Linked DNA regions of Caenorhabditis elegans. Each later gene encodes a partner of the first gene's protein in a complex. Each region holds a gene or a part of one and is shown in the gene's direction. Other genes may lie near its edges.

Region 1 (5,515 bases):
AAAAAAATCCAAGCAAATTTTTCCAAAAAAAACGCGATTATCAAACTCAAAAAGTTGCCGGAAATTTTTTGATGTTTTTCAAAATTAAATTTAGTCTTTTTCACCCATTTTGCACTGTTTTCCATTAAAAAATTATTTTCGTTTCGAGACTCGTAAACCTGTCACATATCACTACTAAATAAAATAACACAAACTAAGCCATATAAACTAAAAATTTTCAGCACAGGACCTGATGGTGACGGAAAATGGGAAGAGGATCGTGCTAAGATCACAATCGAACTGAAAGGAATTGAAGATTCGGTAAAAGTCGCAGAATATCGTGCTCAACTGGCGTCTGCAGTATCTGCTGTGATTTTCGCGAGCAAATATCCTGGAAAAGTGATCGAAATCGAGATAACCGTTCTTTCGGATGATGGTGGTGTTCTTTCAACTGCACTTTCAGCTGTCACACTAGCCATTTCTCATTCTGGAATTGAAAATATGGGATTAATGGCCAGTGTTCATGTGGCAATGAATTCTGATGGAGAATGCTTGACGGATCCATCAACTTCCGAATCCGAAGGAGCCATCGGTGGCGTCACATTCGCTTTCGTTCCGAATCTTGGCCAAACAACGTGTGTGGACATTTACGGACGAATCCCTCTCAAATCCACGTCATCACTTTTGGAATTTGCGAAGCAAAGAGCGTGTGCTCTGGTTCCGACGATTCATAAGGCAATTGTGAACAGTGTGCGAGAGAGAAAATAAATGTGTTGACAATTTTTAAATTTATCTCTCATTCCGAATATCTAATTTAGAAAAAAAAGTTTTTGCCCGATTATTTGAAAATACATTTTTCCGTCTAAATTGAACATTAAATAGAAATATAAAATTGAATTCGACAAAATTTTTTTTGAAAATATTTTTTAGTTCGTGATTTCAAGCTGAAATATAAAAAAACAGATATTCAAAATATCATGCTCAAAAAAAATATGGAAAAAAGAAATATCTTCGTTTGCATTAAATTTTTTTCGAATTCTTGAAAATTTTTTTCGAATTCTTGAGAATGAGAATTTGAAAAAAAAAATCTCAAGCGAAAATATTGAACATTTCCATATTTTTGAGCATGATATTTTGAATATCGGTTTTTTTTTATTTTAGCTCGAAATCACGAATTTCAAAAATTTGTCAAAATTAACATTACCGAATTCACAAGTTTAAAAAGGATTAAAAATTAACATTACCGAATTCACAAGTTTAAAAAGGATTAAACTTGTGAATTCGGTAAAGTTAATTTTGACAAATTTTTGAAATTCGTGATTTCGAGCTAAAATATAAAAAAAAACCGATATTCAAAATATCATGCTCGAAAATATGGAAATGTTCAATATTTTCGCTTGAGATTTTTTTTTCAAATTCTCAAGAATTCGAAAAAAAAATTTTTATTTTTAAAACGCTCAATTTAGACGGGAAAATGTATTTTTCAAAATCGGACGAAAACTTCTTTTTTTTCTAAATTAGATATTCGCCGATACATTTTCTAAAAATTCAATTAATTATCCCCGATTTCACTTCAAATGCACCCCCTTCCATCTTTAATGAATGGGAGGAAAGAGCGCTCCACTGCACACAGATTCTTTGAGTAAATATAATACTGTTTAGTCACCTTCCCTTTTGCCTTCTCCGTCGTTTCTTTCTCATTTCTTTCTTGTTGATTTTGTTGTTGTTTCCCTTTTCATTTTGTTCAACCGTCGTGGTTTTCACAGTTTTCCTTCATTTTAAATACAATGAATTCAGAATTCTCTATGCATTTAATACCCTTCTTATTCCGTCGCTGGTCGCGGTTTTGTATTTTAATTCCTTTTTAATTGTTTTTGTACATTTCTCTCTCTATTTTCTACACTTTCAGAAAAATGATCATTTTGGAGCAAAACAACCGAATTATCGTGGAACTTCTCGAGCAAAAATTTGCAAACGCGAAGGAAGGGTTGGTTTTTTTTTGAATTTTAAACGTATTTTTGTAATTTTGAAAGAAAACATAACTGCATAATTTTCCTTTATTTTTAAATTAAAAACATTACCTTTCCGAAATTATTACGGAAATTTCGTTATTTTTTCAAACGTTTGTTGAAAACAATACCAAGAAAAAGTAAACTTGTGTGCGGTTTTCCCGTAGATATAGGTCTCGCCACGAATTTAGCATTTTCAGGCTTTAAAAAGTGTATGTTTTTATAAAGAGTATAGTAATTTCTCCATGGTTCTTCAACTGAAGTGCCAGAGAAACAACGATGTGTGTGAGAGTAATGTACTTTTTGAAGGCACATAGCGTTAAATTGAAAATGATTTGATCGTGGCGAGACCTTAATATATTGTTACTCTCACTAATAATCACCTTTTTCAGTGGAAAACCAGAGTCGGTCAACGTGACATTCGCCGATTTTGACGGAGTTCTCTACAAACTTTCGAATCCAGATGGCGATAGAACCAAGATAATTGTTAGAAACTTTTTCACAGTCTAATAATTTTTAAAACTAATTTTCAGCTGAGCATCTCGCTAAAATTCTACACGGAACTGCAGCAACACGGAGCGGATGATGTATGTCGCCGCTTTTTTCTGATGAATATTTGATTTTCCAAAATTTCCAGCTCCTTCGTCGTGTGTACGGTGGTCATATGCGTTCAACTCCGGAACAAGGATTTAATGTCACTCTGGAATACAATTTGGCCGATCTTCCGGCAGATACAACGGATTTGGTGCAGGCAGCTTCTGCTTTGAAGAGAAATTGTTTTGCTTCAGTCTTTGAAAAGTATTTCGAATTCCAAGAGGCCGGCCAGGAGGGGCATAAGAGAGCTGTTATTAATTATAGAGATGATGAGACAATGTGAGTACCGGTTGTGTTATGGCGTTATTCGAGAAGTGTCGAAAAATTTAAAAGTGTAGAAAAACTACGCCACAACTGTTTTAAAATACATAAAAACATGTATTTTAATACAGTTGTGGCGTCATAAATGTTTTTGAACACATTTTGCAAAATTACTTGATTAACCCCATTAAACGAGGAAAGTTGAAAAATGTTCAATATTATAAAGATTTGTTCAATTAAAATAATTTCACAGAGAAAGGCTGAAAAGTGGCGTTTTTATTCCAGTTTTCGTGGATTTTCAGAGAATTTGATTTATTATTTAACTATCAAAAGATATAAAAATTTTCGATTTTTTCATATTTCGAAAAAATTCCAAGTTTGCCGGAATTTTTCAATTCCTGCACTTTGCCGTTTTGCCGGTTTTCCGCCCACCCCTGAATCGACTCTCTACAATTTTTCAAATAAATAATTTATTATTAGGTCTCCAAATAAGTTCCGGGTCAAAAATCATAACTTTGTTCGCTGCGAATCGATTTTTATGAAATTGTGGGAATTTATGTTATCAACCATGATCTTTCATTTGACAATAGTCACAAAATTTTTTGGCCGTCCGAAGTGCCCGTACTCATAGCCAATTTTTTCAGGCATTTTTCAGATCTCGCTTCTTTTCAGGTTTCAACTAAGGTTTGTGTGCGGATATTGCTTAGTTTAGTACACAATGTAAGAGAACAAGAAAAGTTTGAAAAAAATCCGTCCAAAAAAATTTTTTTGTCGATCGTCAAAAAATCTTCAAAAAATTTTTTGTCGAAAATTCTTAATTTTTCATACAAAAATGATGTAACCATGTGCAAACTATTTTTACACATACAAAAAATTTCAATTTAGTGCGTCTCACTAAAAAAAAATAACAAAAAACACAGCTTTTTCGAACTATTTTCGAGTTTTTGGAGTATTTCTCAAGATCCAAATTTCATACTCAAATGTTTTGTATGTGTAAAAATAGTTTGCACATGGTTACATCATTTTTGTATAAAAATTCAAGAATTTTCGACAAAAATTTTTTTGTAGATTTTTTGACGAGCGACAAAAAAAATTTTTTTGGACGGATTTTTTTTCAAACTTTTCTTGTTTTCTTACATTGTGTACTTAATTAAGCAATATCCGCACACAAACCTCAGTTGAAACCTGAAAAGAAGCGAGATCTGAAAATGCCTGAAAAAATTGGCTCCGAGTACGGACACTTCGGACGGCCAAAAAATTTTGTGACTATTGTCAAATGAAAGATCATGGTTGATAACATAAATTCCCAAAGTTTCATAAAAATCGATTCGCAGCGAACAAAGTTATGATTTTTGACCCGGAACTTATTTGGAGATCTAATAATAATCACAAATTTGCCATTTTCTCTGAAAAATAGTAAGAATTAATAAAAAAGTGTTTTTCACTTTTTCAATACGCACAAATTTCTTATTTTTTGAACAAAAAATTCTGAAAAACAGTACTTTTTAATTGTAATACTGCAAATAATATACTTTAAACCCCAATGATTTTCAGGTACATTGAAGCGAAAGCGGATCGTGTGACCGTAATCTTCAGTACAGTTTTCAAGGACGCTGACGATGTGATAATCGGAAAAGTGTTCCTTCAAGAATTCCGTGAAGGCCGAAAAGCCAGTCAAACTGCTCCAGCAGTACTCTACTCACTCGGTGAACCACCTTTGGAGCTTAAAGATCTTCCAGAAGCCCGTGTTGGAGACAATGTTGGATACATTACATTTGTGTTGTTCCCACGTCACACAAATAAGAAGACAAAAGACAATACGATTGATTTGATTCATTCGTTCCGTGACTATCTTCATTATCATATCAAATGTTCCAAAGTCTACCTTCACACCAGAATGCGTGCCAAGACCACTGATTTCTTGAAGGTTCTCAATCGGGCACGTCCAGAGGTCAAAGGAGAAAAGAAGACGTTCCATGGAAGAACTTTTCAGACCCAATAAATGTACAAATTATCACAATTGTTACCAAATATTTTTTTTCTGTTTTCGCTTTAAAACCTTATTTATTGCTTTGATTGTAAAATGTTCTTATGAGGTTCGTGAAATTTTGATATGAAATGAATTATTGCAGTAAAATGGAGAGCGATAGTTAAGGCACAATTTGTGGAATGATATCAATTACTATCCGATTTCAAAGAAGAAAAACATGGACGGGCTGAAAATGCATAGGGATCGGAGGAGAGAGAGGAGAACAGGTATTCAGGTAGACCCTAGTAGTTTGACCTACGAAACTTGCGGGAATGGTGTTTACGCGTCATGGCAAACAACGAGGAGTCCACCTGAACACATGTAATGTAATAATGAAGAAATCTCCTAAAAATCATAAAAATTTTCAAATATTATCATTTGGAGCAATTTTACGGGCCTCTAAAGTAGTGAAAAAAAAAACACTATTCAGCTCGATTTTTATCCAGTTCAAAGTGTTTTTTTGCCGGCCTATTTAGGAGGTACTCTTTTAACATAGATTTCATCCAGAAGTCGGGGTTAACTTGAAATACTTCCCTTGTTCTCTCACATGATCTAAAATACTCATTCACATCTTTTAGTTGTCCTGCAAATACGCTTCACATTTTTTTTCTTCAATTTTTTGCAATTCATGTATGCTGAATTC
Region 2 (4,917 bases), on another chromosome or scaffold:
AGAATGTTCTTGGGCTCCGAATCTCAACTCTGAAGAGCTAAAAGTTGTGAAATATGATAATTTTTTCGTTTTTTGTGTGATATTAATTATTGTAATTTATTTGCCTTGTTCTTCCACAATTCCCATTGCTTTTGGTCCCTTCATATTATTTTCCCGTTGGGCGGCGGTTCATGTTTTCTATTTAAATTATGTGTTTTTAAAAATTATTTAAACCCCACAGAAAGATTATGATTGCATGCTGGTCTATTTTATTTGAATAAATCATGATTTTTTTACTTTTTTTCATTTATCTTTGGGGTAAGAAAATGTTCTCTAAATCAGTAATTTACATGGAGAAATTTGCTCGAAAAAATTCAAAAAAAATACAGTAAGAAAATTGTCGTAAAGTCTAGGGTTTTGGTATTGCGGACTACGACAAAATGCACACAAACCATTTTGGCACCGGAAAAAGGCAAAAGCCAGGATTTTATCGCGTTTTGGCTCATTTTTCTTGCAAATTTCCATGGAATTCAGTTAACATATACCTAATTATTCAGTTATTTCGAATTAATCAATAATTTTCAGTGAATTTCGCAATTTCTAAGTGGTCCAATGATGTCTGTCCACATATTTCCTTGAAAACTGATTGTTTTATCGGAATTTATTGATTTAAAATAATATATATAATAAAATCTGAATTTTAGAATCATTTTTGACGTGGAAAAGACCCGAAAAATCCAAAAATCACGAATAAACTGAACAATTAAGGTATTAATTTTTGATCCCCCACCCCCAGTTTCTCAGTTTCTCAGCAAAGGATTAAAACAATTGTTCTTCTTCTTTTCCCCCTACAAGAATTTCCTGTGAATTTCAATCGTAAAAATATCGATTTTCTGTTTATTCTTTGGATGAGTCACCGCACTCGCCGATTGTTTAACTAGTGCAGTTCGGCAGTTTTACGTTATTTTTTCACGATTTTTTGGATTCTGATCCTCTAGGTGACTTGAAAATACCGAATTTCATATCGTAATATGACAGAAAAATTTATGGCGGTAAAAAAATGCGGAAAAATTTTCTAATTTTAACGGAAAACTCCAAAAAGCCGTTGGAAAATGATTTTTATTTGATATTGGCATATTTAAATAATTTTTATCCTGTTTTTTAGTGGATTTGGATATTTTAACCCGATAGTTATGTATAACGGCTTAAAAATTGCCAAAATCAGCGAAAAAACGCGAGAAAAATCACTTAAATATGGAAAATAGAACAATAATCAAATAAACCCGATTATCCAAGCCAAAACTGAGTTTTTTTTTTCGCATTTTTGAACTTCAAAATTTCGAAAAAATGGGCTATTTTTAACGAAAATCCCCAATTTTGCAATTTTTTCGTGTCACAGCCGTCGGAAATTGATTTTTATTTGATTTTTGACACATTTGAGTGATTTTATCCTTTTTTTTTCGTGGATTTAGGTACTTTTAGCCGATAGTTACGTATTGCTAAAATACTGGCTTAATAAGTAGCTAAATCGACGAAAAAATATGTTTTAAAAAACCAAAAATGGCAAAATTTTACGATTTTTGCTAAATCTTTTTTTTTTTTGAAATTTTAAATCGTCATAAAATTATTTAGCTAAATTTTTGTTAAACATTTCAGCGAAAAACTCCATTTTTGCCAATTTTTTGTGTCACAGCGGTTGAAAATTGCGTTAATTTAGGTATATTTGAAGCCAAAAAAGGAACAAAATTAATTTATTTGCAAAATTATCAATTTCCGGCTTAAAAACGCTCCAAGATTGGAGATTTCAGCGGAAATTAGCCCATTTTTTCGAATTTCTAAACCGCTAGACTGAAATTCCGTCTTTTTCTCCCATTTAAAACAAAAAAAATCCCAAATTTTTTGCAGCAAGCATGTCGGCCCATCAACTACCGGCATGTGTGATCGACAATGGAACGGGTTATACGAAGCTCGGATATGCTGGGAACACGGAACCTCAGTTTATTATTCCATCTGGTTAGATTTATTGATTTTCAGCCTATTTTTCATAAAATCCAGTGAATTTTCCAGCAATTGCCGTGAAGGACAAGGTGGCGAGCTCGAATTCGCAGGCGATGCGCTGGAATAACCGAGTCGGAGCCGGGATAGACGATCTTGATTTCTTTATTGGAGATGAAGCTTTGTCGCCGGCCGCTACGAATTATACTGTCAAAGTTCGTAGTTAATAGACCATATTTATGCTCCTGATGTCAAATATCAATGTGAAATTTTTTTTTTTAATTCCCAGATTTTATATAATTTTTTAAAATCCAAAAATCCTAATTTTAAATTTAAACGACAAAATTTTGCATGATAACCGTGCCGCAGGTGTGGATTTACGAGATTAATATTTTTAATTCATTTTTATTTAATTTTCACACCGATTTTCCCGTTTTTTCGTTGTTATACATTGAAATTCTTGGGATTTTCATAAATTTATTCATAAATTTACTTTTTATTAATGAAAACAAATTAAATTACAAGAAATATCGAACTTTTGCTGAAAAAATCGAATATTTCACGTATTTTTGTTGTTTTCATTAATAAAAAGTCATAAATTAATGGAAATCATGATAATTTTAATGTAAAACAAGGAAAAATCGGGAAAATCGGTGTGAAAATTAAATAAAAATGAATGAAAAATATTAGTCTCGTAAATCCACACATGCGGCACGGTTATCATGCAAAATTTGTCGTTTCTGAATTTAACATTTTGGACTTTTGGATTAAAAAAAATATAATTTTTTATAAAATCGGGAATTTTATTTTTTGAATTTTTCACATTGATATTAGGTATCAGGAGCATATGGAAAAAATGTTTAAAATTAAAATTAAATTTTTTAGTATCCAATTCGGCATGGAATCGTCGAAGACTGGGATCTTATGGAACGATACTGGGAGCAGTGCATTTTCAAATACTTGAGAGCCGAGCCAGAGGATCATTTCTTCCTTTTGGTACGGGAGAGAAGCAGAAAATTCGGGAAAAAATGCTCTGGAACAATATTTTGGCCACTTTTAAAAGAAAAGGGGGTCGAAAATCCGTTTTTTTAATAGAAAATATCCTGTAAAATGGATGTAAATCGGTGAAAAGCTATATATTACAGAAAAAACACGTGAAAAGTGATAAATTTCGATGAAAAAAGCTTAAAAATCACGAAATTTTGCAATTTTTGACTCTAAAATTACGGTATCCGGTCTTGACAGGACAATTTTTTTGGAAATAAAGCATGTGATACCAATTTAAAAAATACGTAAAAATTTTGAAAAAAACGGGAGAAAAATCAAGGAATTTCCCCCGAAAACTCCGGTATTTTTAAGCTTTATTAATTAAAATTAATTAAATGAAAAATCTACATTTTTTCAAAAAAATAGCAAAAAAAATTTTTTTTCGTATTAAAATCCTAATTTTATAGGAAAAGCTGTTTTTTTGAAGATATGGCTTTAATTTTCTATTTAAAAAATCGTTTTTTTTTTCTGGAAATTTACAAAATTTTGTTTCTAATTTTTTTTAAAGTAAGGGTCCCGCCACGATCTACCTGAGCTTCAACTTTCAGGCTTAAAGTTGGTGTAGTCGAATTTTTTTTTTGCTTTATTAGAATCAAAATTGTCTAAAAACACCGAATTTCATAATGAAACTTCTTGAAAAAAAACAGTTATGACGGTTCAAAAAATCGGCTAAAATTAGTTAAAATTTGAAATTTGGCCTTTTGAAATTACCGTCAAATTTTAGATATATAAGTTTATTATCGTGCGTTTTCAACTCGATTTAGGTATTTTAAAGTCGGTGGACTTGGAGATTTGGTAATAAAAATTTAAAAATCTCCAAGTCCACCGGCTTTAAAATACCTAAATCGAGTTGAAAACGCACAATAATCAACTTATATATCTAAAATTTGACGGTAATTTCAAAAGGCCAAATTTCAAATTTTAACTGTTTTAGGCCATTTTTTTGGAGCCGCCATAACTTTTTTTTTGAGAAGTTTTCAATTCATTATGAAATTCGGTGTTTTCAGACAATTTTTGAGTCTAATAAAGCAATTTTTTTTTTAAAAATCGACTACACCACCTTTAAATAGCGAATATTAGGCAGTTTTCCACGAAAAAATTTGAAAATTTCCAGACGGAACCACCACTCAACACTCCGGAAAACCGAGAATATACTGCTGAAATTATGTTCGAGTCGTTCAACGTGCCAGGCTTGTACATAGCCGTTCAGGCCGTCCTAGCGTTGACTGCCAGCTGGAATTCCAGAGAAGCCAACGAGCGAAGCTTGACTGGATTGGTAGGAAATTTTTTCGCTTTTGAGAAAAAAAAATTTTTATTATTTTATTTGTCACTTATTAAATAGCCAAAAATGCAAATTAATACCAGCAAAAACATGAAAAATATAATGAAAAACGACAATTTACACATTCCCGACAATGATGGATACTTGTTCCCGTCTACTTCGGCTTCTCCTGCAACTGCAAAAAAATCGAATTGCTCCTCACCATCAAGCGCTCCGAATCCCAAAATATCCTCATCGAAACTCGAAACCTCGCGGAGCAACACAGGCAGCTCTTGCAGCCAGAAACTTCCAGTTTTCCGTGGATCTTGCTCCAAATGCGTCAGAAATAGATGCCAAATTTGGCGGAATCTCTCCTTTTCGGCTTGTCGGCGGTTCGCATTTTCTAGCTGCTCATGATCTTCGGCTTCAGCGTGGAAAGCGGTTCTGAGTGCTTCTTCGTCGATTTTCGGGATGTACGCAGAAATTGCCATGTCGAGTAGAGAGTGTGGGAGACTGAGAGGGACAGGGAGAGATGACGTGGATTCTGGTGTACCGACGACGATCGATAATGTTTTCGAGGTACCTGTGTACCATCTGCCGTCTCTGCTAGCAATTGCATAACACGCAAGAAAAAC
Region 3 (3,270 bases), 4.0 Mb from region 1:
GTCGATTTACCAATTGAGAGGTTGAATGCTTAAAATGCACATATTTCAGAACAGTCTTTTCCCTAGGAAATTTCAAATTTTATCTGATGTTCAGATCGTAGCACATGCTCTTTTGATCGGTTATTATTCATTCGGGGATTGACTGAGGATCTTTAGATTCTTTCTCACTTTCAGGTAGACTTCCTCGCGGCTTCGGCTCCGGTAGTAGTAGTTTACATATCAGGATTTTCAACACTTTTGTATTCCGACACTATTCCACTGGAAAATTCACTTATTGTGCATTTTTGGCAAAATTCTACAAGTTTCAAGGGAGACGCGCTTATACAAAAGGGTCTCGCCGCGGGAATCGTATTTATTAAAGATACTTGGTTTAAATGTCTTCTTACGTTAACAGAAGATTATTTTTAATATGTTTTTCTCGCGGCGAGACCCCTACACACATATGCTCTGTCCTTTGAACTTAAATGTTACTCTTTTCGTTTCAATACCAAATGCGCAATAAATCCCGCATTGAAGCATAGCGTTCTCCCATTACTTCTGCTCCCATTTCAGTTATTTTTTATGCCAATCTTGAAATTATTGCGTGCTCAAACGAAAATCAAACAAGCACTTACTTTGAACGATTTACTTATCGAAGGAATACCACAGAAAATCGTAGGATAAGATTATGAAAATTTGCACTGAAGTTCATGGGTGTGGGAAAACGAGGGAAATTATAACACTTAAAGAAGAAAAGGGCTGCTCAAAAATTGTGAGAAAAATACATAAATTTTGGAAAATGAATTTTGCAATTTATGGAAAAATTAAACGGATTGAAGAATGCTTCTGGTGATTTCTTGAATGTAGATATCCGAGCTGGTGAGCTTCTTCTCATCAGTAGAGGACGGCTTCAAAACAGCTTTCTTGGTCGGTGCATTCTCCTTGTCCTCCTCTTCGAAAACTTTCTCCGGTGAATTGACAATTGGATTTTTTGCGAGATAGTTCTGAAACATAACCAGGTTCTCATAAAATCTCAAAGTTTCATTTTTTAAGGAAAACATTAAGAGTTGTGTTAATATCAGTGCTTTGATTAAAAGTTCGAATAGTCTAAATAATTACCTCCACAAATTCCTTTTTCGAATTCAAGTTCCGGTCGTGAACGACAAAGAAGACATCAGAATCGTTTTTGACAGTCTCTGGCTCAGTGGCTTGAATAGTGTACCCCTTTTCTGGAAGACAACTATGTTATTATGATTCAAAAATGCTTGAAAACATTTACCGAGAACTCCGAAGCGCTCATTCAATGTGATTCGTTTATTTGTCGCAGTTTTGTACTTGTTTTCCAGAATCGACGCCACTTTGTTGCTGTGCTCACGGTCAGCTAAAGGAATAACTTGATATTGGATGGCAGTAGTCATTCTGAAAGGTTTAAATTTTTAAATTTTACTGAAAACGCAAAATATTTTGCAAAATGGGAAAGTGGAATGATTGAAAATCAGAAAATTAATTTTAAAATTGACAATTTTTAAAAGAATGGATGATAAATTTGTCTTCGCGCGCTACTCGAAACAAAAAGTGCAGCGGAGCGTGTTTGCATTACTTTCAAAACGACGCAAATAATGATTCATTTTCGGATTATCGACTCCAATTTTACGATTTTCGCCGGTATTTCATGTTTTATTTTGTTCCATGCAATCTTTTTTCACTTCTAAATAATGTCTCAAACTGTTTCGTCAATAAAAAAATCAATAAGCATGCGCATTGCAGGTAATGAGCGCAACACTCCAACCATATCTGGAGGCCGTGCGTCACACGCTCCAGGCAGCTCTCTGTCTTGAGCAATTCAGTTCGCAGGTGGTCGAGAGACACAACAAACCAGAAGTAAGATTTATAACAGTAAAATGACTTGCAAAGTGTGAAGATTGAATAATTTAAATCAGTCCGCCGCCAATTGCAATAGTTTTTCGCTCAAAAACTATTTAAATGTATTATTCTATTTGTATATTATAATAAAATTGTAGGTGGAAGTTCAAACATCGAAAGAACTGCTCATGACGCCAGTTGTTGTTGCTCGAAACAAACAGGAACGAGTACTCATCGAACCCTCCGTCAATTCTGTCAGAATATCAATCGCCATCAAACAATCCGACGAAATCGAGAAGATTCTGTGCCACAAGTTCACTCGATTCATGTGCCAAAGAGCCGATAACTTCTTTGTGCTCCGTCGCAAGCCACTGCCAGGTCAGAATTAATACTAATATTCAGAGATTAAAGCGATAATTTTAGGTTATGACATCTCGTTCCTCATCACAGCATCTCACACAGAAGCAATGTTCAAGCACAAACTTGTCGACTTTTTGCTTCATTTTATGCAGGAAATTGATAAGGTGAACATTTTAAGTTAATTTTTAAAAAATTCCATAAATTTCCAGGAAATTTCCGAGATGAAGCTGTCTCTCAACGCCCGTGCCCGTGTTTCTGCTGAAGAATTTTTGAAGCGTTTCAATTAATTTTCTCCCCATGATTCCCAATTCATTTTTCTCATTTTCACTCAAATTCCGAAGACTTTAAACTATTATGTGAACACGGTTTTTTGATCAATTTGTGTAAATATCATCTTTATTCTCAATTTTTTCACTTTTTGTTTCTGAAAATGACTCCCCTCCCAAAAATTTCCTGTTTTAGGTCCTATTTTGCCTTTTTGATTATCGATTTTTTTTACCGCACACTGACTTTATGAATTATTTATTCAATTTTTGCAATATGTATGATCTGAAATATCTCGTGAAACATTTACGAGCTTTAATATTTTAAAATGATTATTAAGTTGGAAATTGACAAATCAATTTCAGAAATGAAGTCTATTCTACTTTTATTCTCCCTGATAGTGCTCGGCAGTGCAACAGAAGAAGTGAGCAGAACTGAGCAAACATCGACATTATTCTCCGTCGAAGGCGAGGTTCGTATACCAAAAATGTTTGATTTTTGGATTAAAAATATCGATCATTTTGGCTATATTCATAGAGAAGTCATATTATAAATTAAGACAACGTTTATATGCTTCTGAATACTTTTTCCAGTTCTCACATTTTTTAAAATTTTATCTTCTAGGTTCCTATTCTAATAACAACAAATTCGTTGTAAATTAAATATTTCATAGTCCTCAAAAAAAAAATTTCAGATCGCACTTCCATCTACTCGAAATTGTGCAAAATGGTCCGCAGGTGCTCGTATTCATTTGAACCATGGCCAATATATGGGATTTGTTCGTCAAGATTGTACATTCCGTGT
Region 4 (3,375 bases), about 12 Mb from region 1:
AAAATCAAAGAAACTTGCAAATTTTAGTTTCTTTGATTTTTTTTTTTTGAAATATAATTTATTTCGTGTAAAGTGAACGAAACTTACTGATTTTTCAATTTTTAAAATAATAAAATACCCAAATTTACACGAAAAAACACATTTTAATTTAAAAAAACCGAAGAAAATGAAGAAAACTGGTTTAAAAAACCGAATTTGGCTGCAAAAAAACCCCTCGTAAATCGACATGGCATGGCGCGCTCCAATGAGAATTTTTCTGGCGCGAGTTTGAAAATTGTTTCGCGCTTTCAAGCTGAAATATAAGATTTTTGAAATTTTTTGAATTTTTTTAAAACAAAATATGGGAAATTTGGAGTAATTTGAAAATTTAAAAAATCAAAAAAATGATTTTTTTATTAAAAAAAAAAGTTTTTTTCAGGATTTCCAATGGCGTGCCGGCTGGGGTGTTCTCAAGGCCAATATGCTTTTCGTGTACAATAAAACCGAAGAGGAGACGTCGGCTCCTCCATTTTTACTACTAATTATTGAAGACTGTTTTATCGAATTATGTGATGAGAATAAGATTGGCAAGGATTTCACTTTTGAAATCAAATTCAAATCGTGCGTTTTTTCCGGGTCTCAACACGAAAAATTAATACTAAATTCCAAAAAAAAACTGAATTTTTATCGGTTTTATCGAAAATCGATGAAAAATCGATTGAAAATTCCTAAAATTATCCGATTTTTTTCCAGAACTGCTCGAAGCTTCATCTTCGCCGCCGACTCGTTCAAATCGCTGGGACGTTGGGTTTCGCTGCTCACAATCTCCCCGATCGACTATATACAGCTCTCGAAACAAAGTTTTCATGAGCAAATCGAGCAAACTCAGAAGAAAGCGATGAGGGATTGATTTTTATACATTTTGCACATTTTCACTGTGATATTTTGACTTATTGATTATAAATCATACATTTTTAACGTTTTTTGCTTTGTTTTGCAGCTGGAATTTCCCTGAATTTATCGTTTTTTTCGCAAAAAATCGCGAAATTTCATTAAAAATTTCCAAACGATGCTCCGATATTCCGATGTCGCGCCTTGTTTACCGTAAACTTACACGAGATTATTATTTATTTTTCCGTTCCTGGAGAGAATTTCATCAGAAAAAACGTTTAAAAAGCAGAAAATCTTTGATTTTTTCCAATTTTTCTTAAATATCTGATTATAGGAAACTTGTAAGCTGATATTAATCATATTAATTCCAAGTTTTCATATATTTTAACACGAATTTCCGAATAAAAGTGTATTTTCGGGTTTTACTTTAATTTTCGCGTCCGCAACGACATTATCGCTTCAAAAACTGCATTTTTATCGAATAAAATACTTATATTTTAATTTAAAACTCGAATTTCACAATTTATCGATTTTTTTTCGCAGCCGCAGTGACTCATTATGTACTTACCCCCCCCCCCCCTCGGGTATCCGAAAATAAGCCGTTTTCTATGCATTTTTCCAAACAAAACACTTATTTTTCAGTGAAATGCCGGCATACCACTCAAAATTCGACACTGAACTCAAAGTTTTGCCATTGGGCAACACAAATATGGGAAAACTTCCGATTCGAACCAATTTCAAGGGTCCAGCGCCTCGTAAGTCTTCAAAAATTGATTGAAAAAACCTATATTATATATTAAAATTATTGCAGAAACCAATCAGGATGACATCATCGACGAAGCGCTCACCTACTTCAAGCCGAACATCTTTTTCCGCGAATTTGAGGTTGATTTTCGAGATTTTTCCCTATTAAAATTGAGAAATTTTCAGATCAAAGGTCCCGCGGACCGTACAATGATCTATCTCATCTTCTACATCACCGAGTGCCTCAGAAAATTGCAAAAAGTACGGATTTTGCACGAAAAAAACCTACTTTTTAGATTGAAAAATAAGAAAAAAAGACCCAAACATACCGAATTTCAATGGATATTTTGAACATTCCTACCGAAAACAGATTTTTTTAAGTAGAAAATTTCAAATTCGAAACATTTTCGATTTTCTCTGAAAAAATCCCAAATTCTTTCAATTTTCTCTGAAAAATCCACAAATTTTAAGGTTTTCTCTGAAAAAATCGAATTTTTTTGGTTTTTCCCTGAAAAAAATCTAAAAATTGTTTAATATTCCCTGAAAATTCCAAAATTTTTCTGGTTTTCCCTGAAAAAATCCGAAAATTTTTCGATTTTCACTGAAAAAATCCGAAATTTTTCCGATTTTCTTCGGAGAAATCCAACTTTTTTTTTTCTCAAAATTTTGGAAATTATAAAAAAAAATTCTAGTTACAAAATTCGGTCTTTTCGGGCTATTTTGAGTGAAATAAAGCGTAAAAACATGTTTTTTTTTTGCAAATTTTTTCAAATTTTCAGAGCCCAAACAAGATAGCCGGCCAAAAGGATCTTCACGCCTTGGCTCTCAGTCATTTGCTTCCAATTCCCGGTGAAAATGGATTCCCACTGAACAGCATGTACAAGGCGCCCCAATCGAAACCGGACGAGGACGAAATGCGTGCCTATTTGCAACAAATTCGCCAAGAAATCGGCGCCCGTCTGTGTGATCTCGCGTTCCCGGATCCCCAAGATCGTCCGAGCAAGTGGTGGCTCTGTTTCGCGAGAAGACGATTCATGGACAAGGGGCTCGTTGGACAGGGTGTTAATTTGTGAATTATCGATTAATTATTGTTGTATCTGGCTCAAAATTTTTTCACTTTTCCCATTTTTTTTTCCATGTAATTATATTTATATTGCGTCCAGTTTTACTTTTTGTGCTGCTTTAAAATATTCATTAAAATTCCGATTTCATCATTTTATTACGGTAACGCAACATATTTTGCGCGCGTCAAATATGTTGTGCGCGAAATACGCGAAATCTCTATGCTCTACCGATAATTTGTCTGCTTGGATCCCATCACTGACAACAAAAACGCCACGGTATCGTGTACGACTTCTGGAGCAGTTATCTGGCAACGTGCCAAGTGACTTCGAACCTCTTCGGGAAGTTGGGAGACTGGAAGAGCCTGGAAATTGAGAAAAATTGAAAATTTTAAGATTTTCTCCGAGAAAATTGGAAAATAGTCGAATTTTTTTCAGAAAACCCCAAATATAGGCCTTTTTTATTAGAAAATCGAAAAATTTTCAGGTTTTTTCAAATAAAATCGGGAAAAAAACTATTAATTTCCCGTAATTTTCCAAGATTTCCGTCTTAAAGGCGCACAGATTTGTTCAGATGGGTCTCGGCGCGCAAAAAAGTTTATGGTACTTTTTTTTCTTTTTTCCTGTTAAAAATTGTTTTAAATCAGTTTTTTTGCCGTTTTCCAGTCAGAGAATGAATAAAAATTGATTTAAACAGTTT

The links.
Region 2: arx-4 (region 1) and arx-1 share a complex: the UniProt entries of both Caenorhabditis elegans proteins name them as parts of the arp2/3 complex.
Region 3: arx-4 (region 1) and arx-6 share a complex: the UniProt entries of both Caenorhabditis elegans proteins name them as parts of the arp2/3 complex.
Region 4: arx-4 (region 1) and arx-5 share a complex: the UniProt entries of both Caenorhabditis elegans proteins name them as parts of the arp2/3 complex.

Annotation. Positions count from the first base shown.
Region 1 is NC_003281.10:860,418-865,932, forward strand, and holds arx-4 (putative actin-related protein 2/3 complex subunit 2), read left to right. Parts: upstream 1-1,888; 5' UTR 1,889-1,892; coding exon 1,893-1,966; intron 1,967-2,380; coding exon 2,381-2,474; intron 2,475-2,521; coding exon 2,522-2,575; intron 2,576-2,625; coding exon 2,626-2,861; intron 2,862-4,397; coding exon 4,398-4,845; 3' UTR 4,846-4,979; downstream 4,980-5,515. Other genes in the region: exos-4.2 (Exoribonuclease phosphorolytic domain-containing protein), read left to right, coding at 222-747. UniProt on the Caenorhabditis elegans protein: Functions as actin-binding component of the Arp2/3 complex which is involved in regulation of actin polymerization and together with an activating nucleation-promoting factor (NPF) mediates the formation of branched actin networks.
Region 2 is NC_003279.8:2,890,686-2,895,602, reverse strand, and holds the start of arx-1 (Actin-related protein 3), read left to right. Parts: upstream 1-1,884; 5' UTR 1,885-1,889; coding exon 1,890-1,992; intron 1,993-2,046; coding exon 2,047-2,189; intron 2,190-2,859; coding exon 2,860-2,970; intron 2,971-4,135; coding exon 4,136-4,297; intron 4,298-4,341; coding exon of another isoform or gene 4,342-4,917. Other genes in the region: copa-1 (Coatomer subunit alpha), read left to right, coding at 1-41; Y71F9AL.6 (Protein PBN1), read right to left, coding at 4,342-4,917. UniProt on the Caenorhabditis elegans protein: Functions as ATP-binding component of the Arp2/3 complex which is involved in regulation of actin polymerization and together with an activating nucleation-promoting factor (NPF) mediates the formation of branched actin networks.
Region 3 is NC_003281.10:4,876,914-4,880,183, forward strand, and holds arx-6 (putative actin-related protein 2/3 complex subunit 4), read left to right. Parts: upstream 1-1,744; 5' UTR 1,745-1,749; coding exon 1,750-1,860; intron 1,861-2,000; coding exon 2,001-2,220; intron 2,221-2,265; coding exon 2,266-2,366; intron 2,367-2,411; coding exon 2,412-2,489; 3' UTR 2,490-2,730; downstream 2,731-3,270. Other genes in the region: Protein tost-1, read right to left, coding at 804-983, 1,099-1,208, 1,259-1,397; C35D10.1 (ER membrane protein complex subunit 7 homolog), read left to right, coding at 2,834-2,938, 3,161-3,270. UniProt on the Caenorhabditis elegans protein: Functions as actin-binding component of the Arp2/3 complex which is involved in regulation of actin polymerization and together with an activating nucleation-promoting factor (NPF) mediates the formation of branched actin networks.
Region 4 is NC_003281.10:12,816,238-12,819,612, reverse strand, and holds arx-5 (putative actin-related protein 2/3 complex subunit 3), read left to right. Parts: upstream 1-1,512; 5' UTR 1,513-1,516; coding exon 1,517-1,625; intron 1,626-1,681; coding exon 1,682-1,755; intron 1,756-1,800; coding exon 1,801-1,875; intron 1,876-2,393; coding exon 2,394-2,687; 3' UTR 2,688-2,824; downstream 2,825-3,375. Other genes in the region: Y37D8A.25 (PH domain-containing protein), read left to right, coding at 419-600, 733-889; BE10.4 (DUF148 domain-containing protein), read right to left, coding at 2,903-3,040. UniProt on the Caenorhabditis elegans protein: Functions as a component of the Arp2/3 complex which is involved in regulation of actin polymerization and together with an activating nucleation-promoting factor (NPF) mediates the formation of branched actin networks.